2 linked regions of the Stegostoma tigrinum genome follow. The main gene of each other region encodes a partner of the protein of the gene in region 2 in a complex. Links are inferred from orthologs where the notes say so. Each region holds a gene or a part of one and is shown on either strand. Other genes may lie near its edges.

Region 1 (7,630 bases), on a different chromosome or scaffold from region 2:
CATCAGCTCCCAACTGATGCCGTTTGATTCGCTGGAAGTTGGAAGGAATCACTCAATCTGTGCACGCAAGGGTAAGTGAAAGAATTAGTGCCAGGGTGACACTGGGAGCAAGAAACTAACTCTGGTCAGGAGAGCCAGTGTTAGTCTGATTCAGTGGGTCAGGGATAACAGAATTTTCCAAGTCCCCTGGTACAATTTCAGCAATGTTACTTTGGCCCTCTGATGCAGGCAGATTCACATTTGATTTCTGCACAACCTCTGCAGCTTTTGCCTCATAGTCAGAGATTCTTCTTTGAACAATGGTTGGCATGAGCCGGACGTAGGAACTCATTAACCGATGGTTGGTGTGGATCAATTTACCAGCACAATTGTTGATGCAATTCTCCTAGAAAGAGAGGAAACATATTAAAGCACATTCCGTTCCAGAGCATACCATCAACAAACTGTGTCATATCGTACAGACACCTAATAGGCCGCACTGTCAAAGGGTCATGAGTAATTTGTCAATATCTCTGCAATTTCCACTTTCCCTTCCATATCCTTGGCATACATTGTTTTTTAATTCTCTTATGAGGTGTGGGTGTCATTAGCTGGGCCCAGGATTTATTGCCCACCCATATTTGCTCCTCGAGATGGTTACGGTGTGCTGCCTTCTTGAACTGCTGCAATCCATGTGATGTAGCTAGACCCAAAAAGCCCTAAAGGAAGGAATTACAGGATCTGACCCAGCAACACTAAAGGAACGGCAATATATTTCCAAGTCAGGATGGTGAGTGTCTTGGAGAGGAACTTGCAGGGTATGGTGTTCCCATGTATCTGTTGCCCTTAATAAAAATGAAAAGAACTGCGGATGCCACAAATTAGGAACAAAAACAAAGTAGCTGGAAAAAGGTCCTTCTGTATGGAAGTGGTCATGGGTTTGGAAAGTGCTGTCTGAGCAACGCTGGCAAATTTTTGCCATGCATCTCAACTGGTCTGGTGACTTCTCACTGCCAACAGTGTCTTGAATACCAGCTCCTTATTAACCTTAAACCCTTTCAGTGACTGAGATTTTGTCTCTGTCACCATGTACTGAGCAGCACCTGCCCCTTAAGTAAAGATAGCTGCAAAGTATTTATCTAACACCGAGCTACATCTCTTGGTTCTAACTGTAATAGCCCATTTTCATCTCTGGTTAATCAAAGGGTGAAAGATTACTGGGGATGGAGTAATGATATGAGCCAAGAAGGAGGGTCAAAATGATCCCTTGTTCCTGATTTGTGTGATGAGGTTCAAAGAGTCAGAGAGGTCTCAGCACAGAAAAAGGCTCTTCAGTCCATCAAGTATGCACCAGTCAAAAACTGTCACCTAATTATTCTAATCTAGGATTTGGCCCATTCTCTTGCCTGTCCTGGCATCAGAAGTGCACATCTAAATACTTCTTCAATGTTAAAGCGGCTTCTGCCCTTTCCATCCTGACAGACTGAGTTCCAGATTCCCATCAACCTCTATGTGATATTTTTCCTCAAATAACCTTTAAACTTTATGGCTCTTCCCTTAAATCTACACATCTGCTCATTGATCCCTCCAAAGGGAAAATTTCTTCCTGTCTACCGTATCTACGACTCTGATTATTGTATGCATGTCAACCACATCCACTCTCAATCTACTCTGTTCTGTTCTAAGAAAAATAACCCCAGTCTTTCCAACCTCTTTTCGTACAACTCTCTAGTCTAGGCAACATCCTGGTAAAATTATGTTTAAACCCTTTCCAGGGCTATCACATGCCTCCAATGATGTGTGCAGCTGGTCATCCTTGGATTTACCTCAGTCAATGTGATGCTCCTGTAGTTGAGGTTGGCCACACACTTGTTGAAGCAGGTTTCTGTCATTTTGTTATAGACCAACAGGAAGTCCCGCAGCTGAAACAAAGAGAGAGCGAGCGAGCTGGAGATTAAGATCACAGAGGAGCAGAAACAAACCCATACACCTACCCCTCCATATATGCCATTGACCTCCTTCCCGTGAAAACACAGATGCTAACACAGCCATTGCTGTCCGTAAATTTCCACGTGAGTGTATGATGTTGGGAGTGGGGGATAGGAATGAACGGATGTATTACTGAGGGGGTTTGTGCAGGACATAGACTCTGGGGGTGAGGGGGATTCTTAGTGAAGAGGGCAGCCACATGAGATTGGGGCAAGTGAGCTGGGGAGGGGTTAGAACACAGAACATAGAACATGACAGCACAGTAGAGGCCCTTCGGTCCTCGATGTTGTGCCGACCTGTCATACCGATCTCAAGCCCATCTAACTACACTATTCCATGTACGTCCATATGCTTATCCAATGATGACTTAAATGTACCTAAAGTTGGCGAATCTACTACCGTTGCAGGCAAAGCGTTCCATTCCCTTACTACTCTCTGAGTAAAGAAACTACCTCTGACATCTGTCCTATATCTTTCACCCCTCAATTTAAAGCTATGCCCCCTCGTGCTCGCCGTCACCATCCTAGGAAAAAGGCTCTCCCTATCCACCCTATCGAACCCTCTGATTATTTTATATGTTTCAATTAAGTCACCTCTCAACCTTCTTCTGTCTAATGAAAACAGCCTCAAGTCCCTCAGCCTTTCCTCGTAAGACCTTCCCTCCATACCAGGCAACATCCTAGTAAATCTCCTCTGCACCCTCTCCAAAGCTCCATATCCTTCTTATAATACGGTGACCAGAACTGTACGCAATACTCCAAGTGCGGCCGCACCAGAGTTTTGTACAGCTGCAGCATAACCTCTTGGTTTGTGGGGGAAATTGGAGGGGGTGGGGGGGTGAGGGAGGGGTGGGGGTGGGGGGGGTGAGGGAGGGGTGGGGGTGGGGGGGGTGAGGGAGGGGTGGGGGTGAGGGAGGGGTGGGGGTGAGGGAGGGGTGGGGGTGGGGGGGGGTGGGGGTGGTGAGGGCCTCACGTTGCGAATCTCCGGCTCCATTCTGTCTCGACGACCTTTCCCAAATCGCTTCCGGTGAGCCGCCCAGTTGTGTCGTCACTTCCTGGCGGTGGCCCGCCCTGGCTCCGGGTCCCTAGAAACCGGCTCAGGCCCCTCCCCGCCGAGAGACACCCGAGCGGCAGCCCCGGTAAGAGAACGGGGCGGGGGGAAACAAGAGGTCCATCCCATCCCCCCACCCTAACCCGTCTCCCTCTCCCTCCTTCCCCCTCCTCCCCGACGCCCCCACTCTCCTCCCCCCTCTCCCCCCCCCCCCATTAGTATTTGTGTGTCGCTATGATTTGTGAACTGCTGGGGAAGGTGTCTGTTTGACCAGGGAGTGCCCATCATACTCAGGACGGGTTGCTATTCTCAGTTGGTCAGTGTCACCCAACTGCCCACGTTGTCTTACCCACTGCTAGTGCAGTCCACCCCCTTGACCTGCTCCCATGGTATGAACCTGCCCTCTGTATATTTCTCCACCTCCTGCTGTGGTTTGCACTGATGTAGTTGCTGATCGTAGCGTGTATTTGGAGACTAATTCTCGCCCTGACCTTGTTGACATCACTCGATGTGTCTCACCTGCATACATGAACGAAAATTGTAGACTCTTCAAACATCAAACTGCGACACAACAAGCTGAGTACTGCTTGGATCACAATGTGTAACAGAGTACTCCCTCTGTGACATGCACACATCCTACAGCCTGTATTCAGTGCTACCACCACCGCCTCCCTCCTTGTCTCTGTAACCTCCTCAGGCCCCTGACACGTACCTTGTCCCTCCTCCTGTCACCCCATTTGTGGCTATTCCTTTAGCCTCTTCAACCCCACACATCAGTCCACGTAACAGGAATGCAGTTTGCCAACATCAGAATTCCTCATTGTTTATTCACGGTAAGGGTCACTAACTGTTGCAGTTCAGAGTCACTATTTATTCAGACTAGTAGCAGGAAACTATAAAGTGCTGTGTTAAACATGGTAACAAACAGGAGCAGGCCCTTTAAGCCTGCTGCATCATTCATTGTGATCATTGCTGATCATCCACTCGAGTCTGTGCGTGTTTTTACCGATCATTGTTTGATTCCTTTAAACTCGGGTACTATCTACAATTCCCTCTTTTAATCATTGTGTTTTTATTGACTGCTTTCGGTGGCAATGAATTCCACAGGCTCTCTACTCTCTGGGTGAAGAAATTTCTCATCTCGGTCCTAAATGACTTATAATGACTTAGACTGTGTCTCTTGGTCCTGGATTCCACACTTGTCATCCTTCGTGCATCCACCCTGTCTGGTCCTCTTTGAATTTTAAAGGTTTCAGTGAGATATTCCCCACCCCACTGCATCATCCTTCTGAAATCCAGGGAATAAAATCCAAACAGATGCAATCTTTCCTCCTACAACAAGGTTAGGTCACTTGGGATCCCTGGAGAGCTAGCGAATTGAATTCAAAATTGGCTTGATAGTAGGAAGCAGAGGGTGATGGTTGAGGGTGATTTCTCAGATTGGAGGCCGTGACTAGTGGTGTGCCACAGGGTTCAGTGCTGGGACCTTTTGTTATTTGTTATTTACATAAATTATCTGGATGTGAATGTACGAGGCATGATCAGTAAGTTTGCAGATGATACAAAATTAGGAGGTATCGTTGATAATGAGGAAGGTTATCAAAAATTACAGAGGGATCTTGATCAGATGGGGAAGTGGACTGAAGATTGGTAATTGCAATTCAATACGGATAAGTATGAGGTGTTGCACTTTGGAAAATCAAATCATGGTAGAACTTATGCAGTAAATGGTAAGGTCCTGAGGAGTGTTGTGGATCAGAGGGACCTAGGAGTACGAGTACATAGTTCACTGAAAGCCGTGTCACAGGGTAGATATTTGCATGCTGGCCTTCATTGGTCGAGGCATTGAGTATAGGAATTGGGACCAAAAACAAGTTGCTGGAAAAGCTCAGCAGGTCTGGCAGCATCTGTGAAGGTAAAAAGAGTTAACGTTTCGGTTCTGGTGACCTTTCCTCAGAACTGAGAAAGTTACTTAGTTCTGAGAAAGGGTTACCAGATCTGAAATGTGAACTTTTTTTTCCCCATCGCAGATGCTGCCAGACCTGCTGAGCTTTTCCAGCAACTTTGTTTGTTCCTGATTTACAGCACCTGCAGTTCATTTGGTTTTTACATAAGAATTGGGACGATCTGTTACAATTGTACAAGTTGTTGAGGCTGCACGTGTAGTATAGTTTTCAGTTTTAATTACCCTGTTATAGCAAAGACATAGTTAAACTGGAAATTGTGCAAAGAGGATTTATGAGAATGTTGCCAGGACTAGGAGGCCTGAGTTATTGGGAGAGATTGACCAGGATAGGAATTTATTCCTTGCAACATGGGAGAATGAGGGATGATCTCATTGAGGTGTATAGGGCATATATAGAATGAATACATTTAGTCTTTTTCCCAGGAATAGTGGGTTGAAAACTAGAGGATGTAGGTTTAAGGTGAGAGGGGAAAGATTTAAGAATGACTTGAGGGGCAACTTCTTCACGTAGAGGGTGCTGCATATATGGAATGGGCTTCCCGAAAAAGTGGTTGAGGCGGGTATAATGGCAACATCTAAAAACTTCTAGATGAGAAGGGTTTAGAGGGATATGGACGAAATGTAGGCAATTGGAACAAGCTGAATGGGCACCATGGTCAGCATGGACCAGTTTATGCTGAACGGCCTGTATTATTCTATGACTCTATAACTATCCCAGGAATTAATCTGATAAAGCTTTGCTTCATTCCCTCTGTAGCAAGAACATCCGTCCTCAGAGAAGGAGACCAAAACTGCACATAATACTCCAAGAGTGGCCTCACCAAGACCCTGTATTACTGCAGCAGGACATCCCTGCTCCTGTACTTGAATCCTCTTGTTATGAAGGCCAATATCCCATTTGCCTTCTTCACCTCCTGCTGCAACTGCATGCTTATCTACAGTATATCATGACACCCAGGTCTTGTTGAACATTCCCCTCTCTCAATTTCTTGCCATTTAGATAATGGTACGCCTTCCAAGTTTTTGCTTCCAAGTGGATAACCTCACATCTTTCCAAATTATGTTTCGACAACCATGCATTTGCTTACTCACTCAACTTGTCCAAGTCACACTGCTGCATTTCTGCATCCACCCACCCATCTTTGTGTCATCTAGTACCCCATTGTCACTGTGTACTACTCAGAAAAAGACCCATTTATCCCTACTCACTGTTTCCTGTCTGCTGTCATCGGTGGGGAGAAAAACAGAATTCATGCATCAAGTCCGGTATGGTGATTCTTCAGAACTGCACGGGTTGGACAAGTTTTACCATTCAACCTGTTTGGAGATGTTATTACACACTTCTGGAGCAGGTGGTAATTGAACCTGGGCCTCCTGGCCCAGAGGTAGGGACACTGCCACTGCATCACAAGACAGCCTTTAAAATGTTGGTTTAAATGAGATGGCTGAATCCCAACAGAGTGAGCCTGATATCCCCGTAGGCAGATTCATTTGTATAACGTACAGGAACAGGCAAAAGGAAGGAGTTGAGTGTTAGATGTGGGGTAGCAGTAATGTTTGGAGAAGACATTGTGGTATTGAAGAGAGAATAAGAGGGGCCAAGGCCCTGTTACAGGAGTTAATTTATAGACCTCCAAATGGACACAGATGGAGCGAAGCAAATCTGCAGGGAAATCACATGGAATAGCTTGGTAATACTTTCAGATTTGAATTAAACAAATATATATGGGGAACAATTTTAGAATAATTGGGAATGAGGGTGCTGAATTTATGAAATGTGCTCAGGAGAACGTCTTTGATCAGTGTGTTCTTGGCCCAATGAGAAACAATGCTGAATCTGGGTGCTGGCAAGTGTTTGGGGACGCCATTGTATCATTTAAATTCGGATTAGTAATGCAGAGTAATACTGGGTCAAGAGGGGATCAAACCAGTGTAAAGACTGACTGGAATGATTGATGACCTTTGAAAGACAAGTAAAATAGACATATGATTCTAAAGGGGGTGAAGAAGCAGACGCACCTCGGGGTATATGTGTACAGATCATTGAAAGTGGCAGGACTGATAGAGGAGGCACGTGTATGCGTATGAGTACAGCATATACAGTATTCTCTGTACAAGACACTTGTTAGACCCTCAGCTGGAGTAGTGTGTACAGTTGTAGACACCACATCATAGGAAAGATATGAACACATCTGCAGAAGTGATATATAAGAATGGTTCCAGGAACAAAAAACTTCAGTGATGAGGACAGATTGAAGAAATCGCAATTGTTCGACATACAGGTTGGAGTGAAGAAGGCTAAGAAGAGATATGATTAAGGTTTTCAAAACCATGAGGGAGCTGGACAGGGTATATAGGTTCCCACGCCCTGAAAAAATAATCCAGAAACGGAAGCACCGATATAAAGTGAGTTGCAAAACAAGTAAAGGTGAGGTAGAAACACAGTATTGACACAGTGAGTAGTTGGGTCTGGAATGCACTTTCTGGAAATGTGACGGAGACAGGTTCAAATGAGGCATTCAAGAGGCACTAGATGATTATTGGCTAGAAATAGTGCTCAAGACTATGGGGGAAAGAACAGTGGATTGGCACGAAGTAAAGATACCCCTTTGAAGAGCTGGTACAGGCACATACAGCCCTGTTGCA
Region 2 (7,212 bases):
CTTCACAGATTATTTTCCTCCTTATTTTTGTGCCATCGCATTTGGTAATCATATCTTTTGTCCCTTCATCTAATCAGTGATAGACATTATTAATGATTGCAGGCACAGCACTGATCGCTGTGGCACACCACTCATTACACCTCGCCAATCTGAAAACAACCTATTTACATCATCTCTCTGTTAGCCAGCCAATCTTCTACCCATGCTAATATGTTAATTCCTTTTACCACAAGCTTTTATTTCCCACAATATGGCACTTTATCAAATGTGTTCTGTAAATTAAAGCTCAGTACATTCAGTGACATTTCTTTTATCAACAGCACATTACTTCTTCAAATAACTAATAGATTGCTGAGAGACAGATTTTTAAACATTAAGAGAATCATGGCTTATGGGGAAAAGACAGGAGTGGAAGATTATCAGTTCATCCACGATCTCATTGAATGATGCAATAAACTCAATGTAGTGAACAGCCTATTTCTGCCTCTGTGTCTTACGGTCTTAAGATTGGTTAAGTATGATCTTCCTTGCAAAAAGCCCTGCTGATTGTGTCTGACTACCTTGAATTTATCTAAGGGCTTTACTATAACTTACTAACTGATAACATTGAACATCTTCCCTCTCTTTTTCATTAAGAGAATAATAGTAGCTATTTCAATCTCATGGGACCTTCCCACGTCAGGAGTATTGGAAAATTAGAACCAATGCATCAATCACCTTTCTAGCTATTTCTAAAACTGAGAACAGAGTCCAGCAGCACCCAGGCACTTGTCAGCCCACGGTTCCAACAATTTACTCAATAACAATCTCTGGTCATTGTCATTTCCCAGAGTTCTTCCTTCCCTCCATTTCCTGATACATCGCTGCTTCTGGGACGTTACCTGTCACCTCTATAATGAAGAATGAAGAATTAAATAAATACTTATTTAAACCATCCGCCATTTCCTTATCTTTCATTATTAATTATCCGATCTCACTTCCCGAAGGACCAAAATACTCTGCCAGCTCTCCTCATTTTAAGTAGTTATAGAAACCTTTACTTTTGTTTTTACATTTCCAGCCAGTTTTCTTGTGTGGCAGTCTAGGACGGATTTTGATTCTTGACACAGTCCTTTGCACTTCTCTCAGACTAGCCAATGCTTTCCCTGTCACCTCCCATTAAAAGTAAACACTTGCACTATGTCTCACTCCCAAGTTAATCTCTCAGGATTAACTCTGGTCGGAATAACGAAATGTACAGCACATGATTAAATGACCTGTCATTTTCTTACTAATACCTACGAGCACTCCAGCAAGAGATGGAACTATAGATGACATCCCACCAATTCTCCTTGTCAAGGTCAAGACAACCAAGTACAAAGATCCATATAAATGCACAAATGAGAATAGACCACTTGACCCTATCAGCCTGCTCCACCAAGCTGATCTGATTTTAACCTCAACTTTACATTCCTGTATGACCCTGATATATTCATAACTACTAAGATCATCTACCTCTCCCAAAAAATATTTAAAGATTCTGCTTCCATTATCTTGAGGAAAGGAAGTCCAAAGATGCTCAGCCCTCACAAAAGACTTTAAGAGCATAGAACAATACAGCGCAGAACAGGCCCTTCAGCCCTCGATGTTGTGTCGACCTGTGAACTAATCTAAGCCCCTCCCACTACACTATCACATCATTATCCATCTTATCTGTAGGCAAATCATTAATCTTGAACCATGACCTCCAGATCTAGATTCTGCCACAGTGAAAACATCCTTTCCATATCATCAGGGTCTTATGTTTCAATTAGTCACCTGTGACTCTTCTAAACTCCAGAAGATGCAGGATTTGCCTGTCCAGCTTTTCCTCACCAGGCGATCTACACATCGCAGATATTGGTCAAGTGAACCTTCTCTGAACTGCTTCCAAAACATTAACATTCCGTAAGTACAGTGACCAAAACTGTACACAGTTTTTCAGATGTGGTATCACCAGTGCCCTGTGTAATGGAAGCATAACCTTCATACACTTACATTCAATTCCCCCTCACAATCAAACATGACCACAGTTTTCCCAATTACTCACTAATTCCTGTGATTTCTGCATCAGGACATCCAGATTCACCCGGCCCACGCTGTTTCTTTGGAAACTATCCATCTATCTGTGGCTCCTGAGATGCTGCTTGGCCTGCTGTGTTCATCCAGCCTCACATTTTATTATCTTGGAATCTCCAGCATCTGCAGTTCCCATTATATCTGTGGCTTGTTCCTGATGAATTTTCTGGCTAATTACTACAATTTGTACCGACCTAGACACTCTTCTAGCTCTACTGCTTTCTTTACAGGCTACACTCTCATTCATTTGTAATAATGGGAGAAATTAACACGCAAAACATACAATACTCGCAGCCAACGATACCCAACACTGGATTTATCTAACACCCTATCTGGTAGCTGGATGAGGATCTTTACCTCCTTTCTCTGACCCACAATATCTTCTGCACCCCTATAACTCCTCCAATTTTGAAACATCTGTTCACACAATGCACCCTTCCAGAGCCACCACCTCCTGGAGTTCCTCCACTAGCCCCTCAACTTCCATCTTTCAATTCTGACCAGTCTCCAACCTATTCCTCCCCTGCAATTCCCAGTGCCTGTTCCTCAACCTTCTTGTCTTCAACCCCACAAACTCCTCGCCCCCTGACCCCCCGGACCCCCGTCCCGACGCCCCTCACCTCCAACACAGGCCAACGCCGCCTTAAAGCTGCAGCTCTCCATCGCTCGTTCCACCATTTTCTGTTCATCCGATTTAACTGGCGCGGGAATCCCGCCAAGCGCAGCTGGGTTCAAGGCCCGAGGCTGCCGTTGCTCCCCTACCAGGTGCTGCAGGAGCTGTGAGTAAATAAGCCCGGAACCGGGCTCGGGCCGAGAAGAGGCTGATGAGCGAGCCTCCGCAGGCGCCATCGTGCAGCAGGCCGCTGTCATGCGTCATCACGTCAGCGTGAGTCACGATGAATCCCGCCCCACTGGCTGAAGTCCCCGCCTCCGGGACGGGGTGCCCCGTCTCCGGGCTGACGTCCCCGCCTCCTGGACGGGGAGCCCCGCCTCCGGGCTGACGTCCCCGCCTCCGGGCTGAAGTCCCCGCCTCCTGGACGGGGAGCACCGCCTCCGGGCTGAAGTCCCCGCCTGCTGGACGGGGTGCCCCGCCTCCGGGCTGACGTCCCCGCCTCCAGGATGGGGAGCCCCGCCCGTTAGCGGAAGGAATGTATCAGAGATAATGGGAACTGCAGATGCTGGAGAATTCCAAGATAATAAAACGTGAGGCTGGATGAACACAGCAGGCCAAGCAGCATCTCAGGAGCACAAAAGCTGACGTTTCGGGCCTTGACCCTTCATCAGAGAGGGGGATGGGGAGAGGGTCTTTCACAAAAGCTGACGTTTCGGGCCTCACATTTTATTATAGCGGAAGGAATGTGACGCCTTCGGCCAAATTTGTTCCCTTCTGGTGTTTTTATTCTCCAGTGAAGATGAAAGGCCCTCCGCCTCTTCCTGTCCCGCAGGCCCAACCAGCCCCCCTCCACCGACACCCTCATCCGCCTAGCTGAACTCGTCCTCACCCTCAACAACTTCTCTTTTGATTCCTCCCACTTCCTACAGACTAAGGGGGTGGCCATGGGCACCCGCATGGGCCCCATCTATGCCTGCCTCTTTGTAGGTTACGTGGAACAGTCCCTCTTCCGCACCTACACAGGCCCCAAACCCCACCTCTTCCTCCGGTACATTGATGACTGTATCGGCGCCGCCTCTTGCTCCCAAGAGGAGCTCGAACAGTTCATCCACTTCACCAACACCTTGCACCCCAACCTTCAGTTCACCTGGGCCATCTCCAGCACATCCCTCACCTTCCTGGACCTCACTATTTCCATCTCCAGCAACCACCTAAAAACCAATATGCATTTCAAGCCCACTGATTGGCACAGCTACCCAGAATACACCTCCTCCTACCCACCTTCCTGCAAAAATGCCATCCCTTATTCCATATTCCTTTGCCTCTGCTGCATCTGCTCCCAGAATGAGGCATTCCACTCCCGTACATCTCAGACGTCCTCGTTTTTCAAGGACCGTAACTTCCCCCCCCTCAGTGATCGAGAATGCCCTTGACCGTGTCCTCCGCATTTCCCGCAACTCATCCGTCACACCCCCTCCCAGCAATAAAAACCAAAACAGAATCCCCCTCATCCTCATGTACCACCCCGCGAACCTCTGGATCTAAAGCATCATCCTCTGACATTTCTGCCATCTGCAATCTGACCCCACCACCAAAGACATTTTTCCCTCCCCACCCTTATCTGCCTTGCGGAGGGACCACTCTCTCCATGACTCCCTTGTCCGCTCCGTACTCCCCTCCAGCCCCACCACACCCGGCACATTTCCCTGCAACCGCAGGAAGTGCTACACCTGCCCCTACACCTCCCCCCTCACCCCCATCCCAGGCCCCAAGAAGACTTTCCACATTAAGCAGTGGTTCACCTGCACATCTGCTAATGTGGTATGCTGCATCTGCTGTACCTGTTGTGCCTTCCTCTACATTGCGGAAACCAAGCAGAGGCTTGGGGACAACTTTGCAGAACACCTCCGCTCAGTTCGCACTAAACAACTGCACCTCCCAGTCACGAACCACTTCAACTCCCCCTCCCATTCCGCAGACAACATGTCTATTCTGGGCCTCCTGCAGTGCCACAATGATGCTGCCCGAAAGTTGTAGGAACAGCAACTCATATTCCGCTTGGGAACCCTGCAGCCCAATGGAATCAAATGGACTTCACAAGCTTCAAAATCTCCCCTCCTGCTACCGCATCCTAAAACCAGCCCAGCTCGTTCCCGCCTCCCTAACTTGTCCTCCCTCCCACCTATCCTCTCCTTCTACCCCAAGCCGCATGCCCATCTCCTTACTACCAGCCTCATCCCCGCCTTCGTGACCTGTTCGTCTTCTCTCCACATATCTGCTCATCTGTGCACTTTCTATCACCACCTCCCCCCCTCCCCCTCCCTACTTATTTCAGAGCCCCCTTCCTTTCCCTCATTTCTGAAGAAGGATCTAGGCCCGAAACATCAGCTTTCCTGTTCCTCTGATCCTGAAATGGATACCTCCTCCTGACCTCTTCTGGACCATGATCCAACCGTGGAATATCAGGCTATTACATCCACAATGGTCACTGATCTCAACTCAGTCCTAAATCTGCTGACCCTTATTTTGAGGCTATGCTCCCTAGTTCTAGTTTCACCCTCCAGTAGCAATAACTTCCCTGCTTTTATCAGATCCACTCCTTGCATAATTTTATATGTTTCTATAAGATCCTCTCTTATTCTTCTTTATTCCAGTGAGTGCAGTCCCAGTCTACTCAATATCCCCTCATAAGGCAATCTTCTAAATTCCAGAATCAACTTAGCGAAGCTCCTCTGTACCCCCTCCACTGTCAGTGCATCCTTTCTCATGTAATCAGACCAAAACTGTACGCAGTACTCCAGGTATGGCCTGACCAGCACCTTATACAGCTGCAGCATAACTGCCTTGCTTTTTAACTCCATCAACCTTTAGCAATGAAGGACAATATTCCATTTGCCTTCTTAATTACCTGCTGCATCTGCAAACCAACATTTTGTGATTCATGTACAAGGACATCTAGGTCCCTCTGCACAGCAGCATGCTGCAATTTTTCACCATTTAAATAATAGTCTACTTTGCAGTAATTCCTACCAAAATGGTTGACCTCACAGTTACCAGTACTGTACTCCATCTTCCAGACCCTTGCTGAATCACTTCACCTCCCTACCCCCTGCACACTTTCAGTGTTCTCTGCACACTTTGCTCTACTACTCATTTTAGTGCCATCTGTGAAATTTTACACACCACACTTGGTCTCCACCTCCAAATCATCTATGTAAATGGTAAACAATTGAGGTCCCAACACTAATCCCTGAGGCACACCACTAGCCACTGATATTCCCACTCTTTGATTTCTGTTAGTTAACCAAGTGGCTGTCCTTGCTAATGCATTACTCGTAATGCCATGCACCTTCATCTAATGCAGCAGCCTTTTGTGCTATATCTTGTTGAATGCCTTGTTGAAATCCAGAAATACCACATCCTGGGGAATGGGGCTGAAAAATGGCAAATGGAGTTTAATATAGATAAGTGTGAGGTGTTGCAGTTTGGGAAGTCAAGTCCAGGTGGGAGTATCATGGTGACTGGTAGGGCCTTAAGGAGTGCAGTGGAACAGAGGGACCTTGGAGTTCAGGTGCACGGTTCTCTGAAGGTAGAGTCACAGGTAGACAGGGCAGTGAAGAAGGCTTTTGGCACACTGGCCTTCAGTCAGAGCATTGAGTGTAGAAGTTGTAGGTTAGATGCATATGAACATGACATTGCTGAGACCGTACTTGGATATTGTGTTCAGTTTTGGTCACCTTGCTATAGGAAGGATGTTGTTAAACTGGAAAGAATTCAGAAGAAATTTACAAGGTTGTTGCCAGAACTCAAGGGACTGAGTTAGAGGGAGAGTTTGTACAAGTTAGGACGTTTATCTTTAGAGTGTAGAAGACTGACGGAGGATCTTATAGAAGTGCATAAGATCATGAGAGGCATGGATAGGGTGAATGCACTCAGTCGTTTTCCCAGGGTTGGGAAATCAAGGACTAGAGGGCTTCAGTTTGAGTTAAGAGGGGAAAGAACATATGGCAATCTGAGGGGCAACTTTTTTACATAGTGGGTGGTACAAATATGGTATGAGCTGTCAGTGGAAGTGGTTGAGGCGGGTATATGAACAACATTTAAAAGGCATTTGGATAGATACATGGATAGGAAAGATTTAGAAGGATATGGGCCAAGTCCAGGGAAATGGGCTTAGCATGGATGAACATTTTCGTCGGCATGGACCAGTTTGGGCCAAAGGGCCTGTCTCTGTGCTGTAAGACTCTATGACTTTCTCTAACTCTATGACCAGTTCCACAACGTCCACTGCATAAAAAAAAACATTTTCCAAGCCAATATTAGTTATGGAGAAGAGCTATTGGACTCGAAACATTAACTCTGATTTCTCGCCATGGATGCTACCAGGCTTGCTGAGCTTTTCCAGCAATTTCTGTTTTTATTTCACCATGTGCCTGGGTACCTGACAGCCTTCAGGGCTCAACATAGAGTTTAACAATTTCAGAATCTGTTTTGAGTTTCTC

What was found. Proteins that work in one complex are often made in the same cells at the same time.
Region 1: timm22 (region 2) and timm10b share a complex: the UniProt entries of both Homo sapiens proteins name them as parts of the TIM22 complex. The link is inferred for Stegostoma tigrinum from reciprocal best matches to the Homo sapiens genes TIMM22 and TIMM10B.

The regions. Positions count from the first base shown.
Region 1 is NC_081359.1:113,860,104-113,867,733, forward strand, and holds the start of timm10b (mitochondrial import inner membrane translocase subunit Tim10 B), read right to left. Parts: upstream 3,014-7,630; 5' UTR 2,962-3,013; coding exon 2,941-2,961; intron 1,902-2,940; coding exon 1,806-1,901; intron 386-1,805; coding exon 116-385; 3' UTR 1-115. UniProt on the Homo sapiens protein: Component of the TIM22 complex, a complex that mediates the import and insertion of multi-pass transmembrane proteins into the mitochondrial inner membrane.
Region 2 is NC_081380.1:48,970,460-48,977,671, forward strand, and holds the start of timm22 (mitochondrial import inner membrane translocase subunit Tim22), read right to left. Parts: upstream 3,002-7,212; 5' UTR 2,968-3,001; coding exon 2,718-2,967; intron 1-2,717. UniProt on the Homo sapiens protein: Essential core component of the TIM22 complex, a complex that mediates the import and insertion of multi-pass transmembrane proteins into the mitochondrial inner membrane. In the TIM22 complex, it constitutes the voltage-activated and signal-gated channel.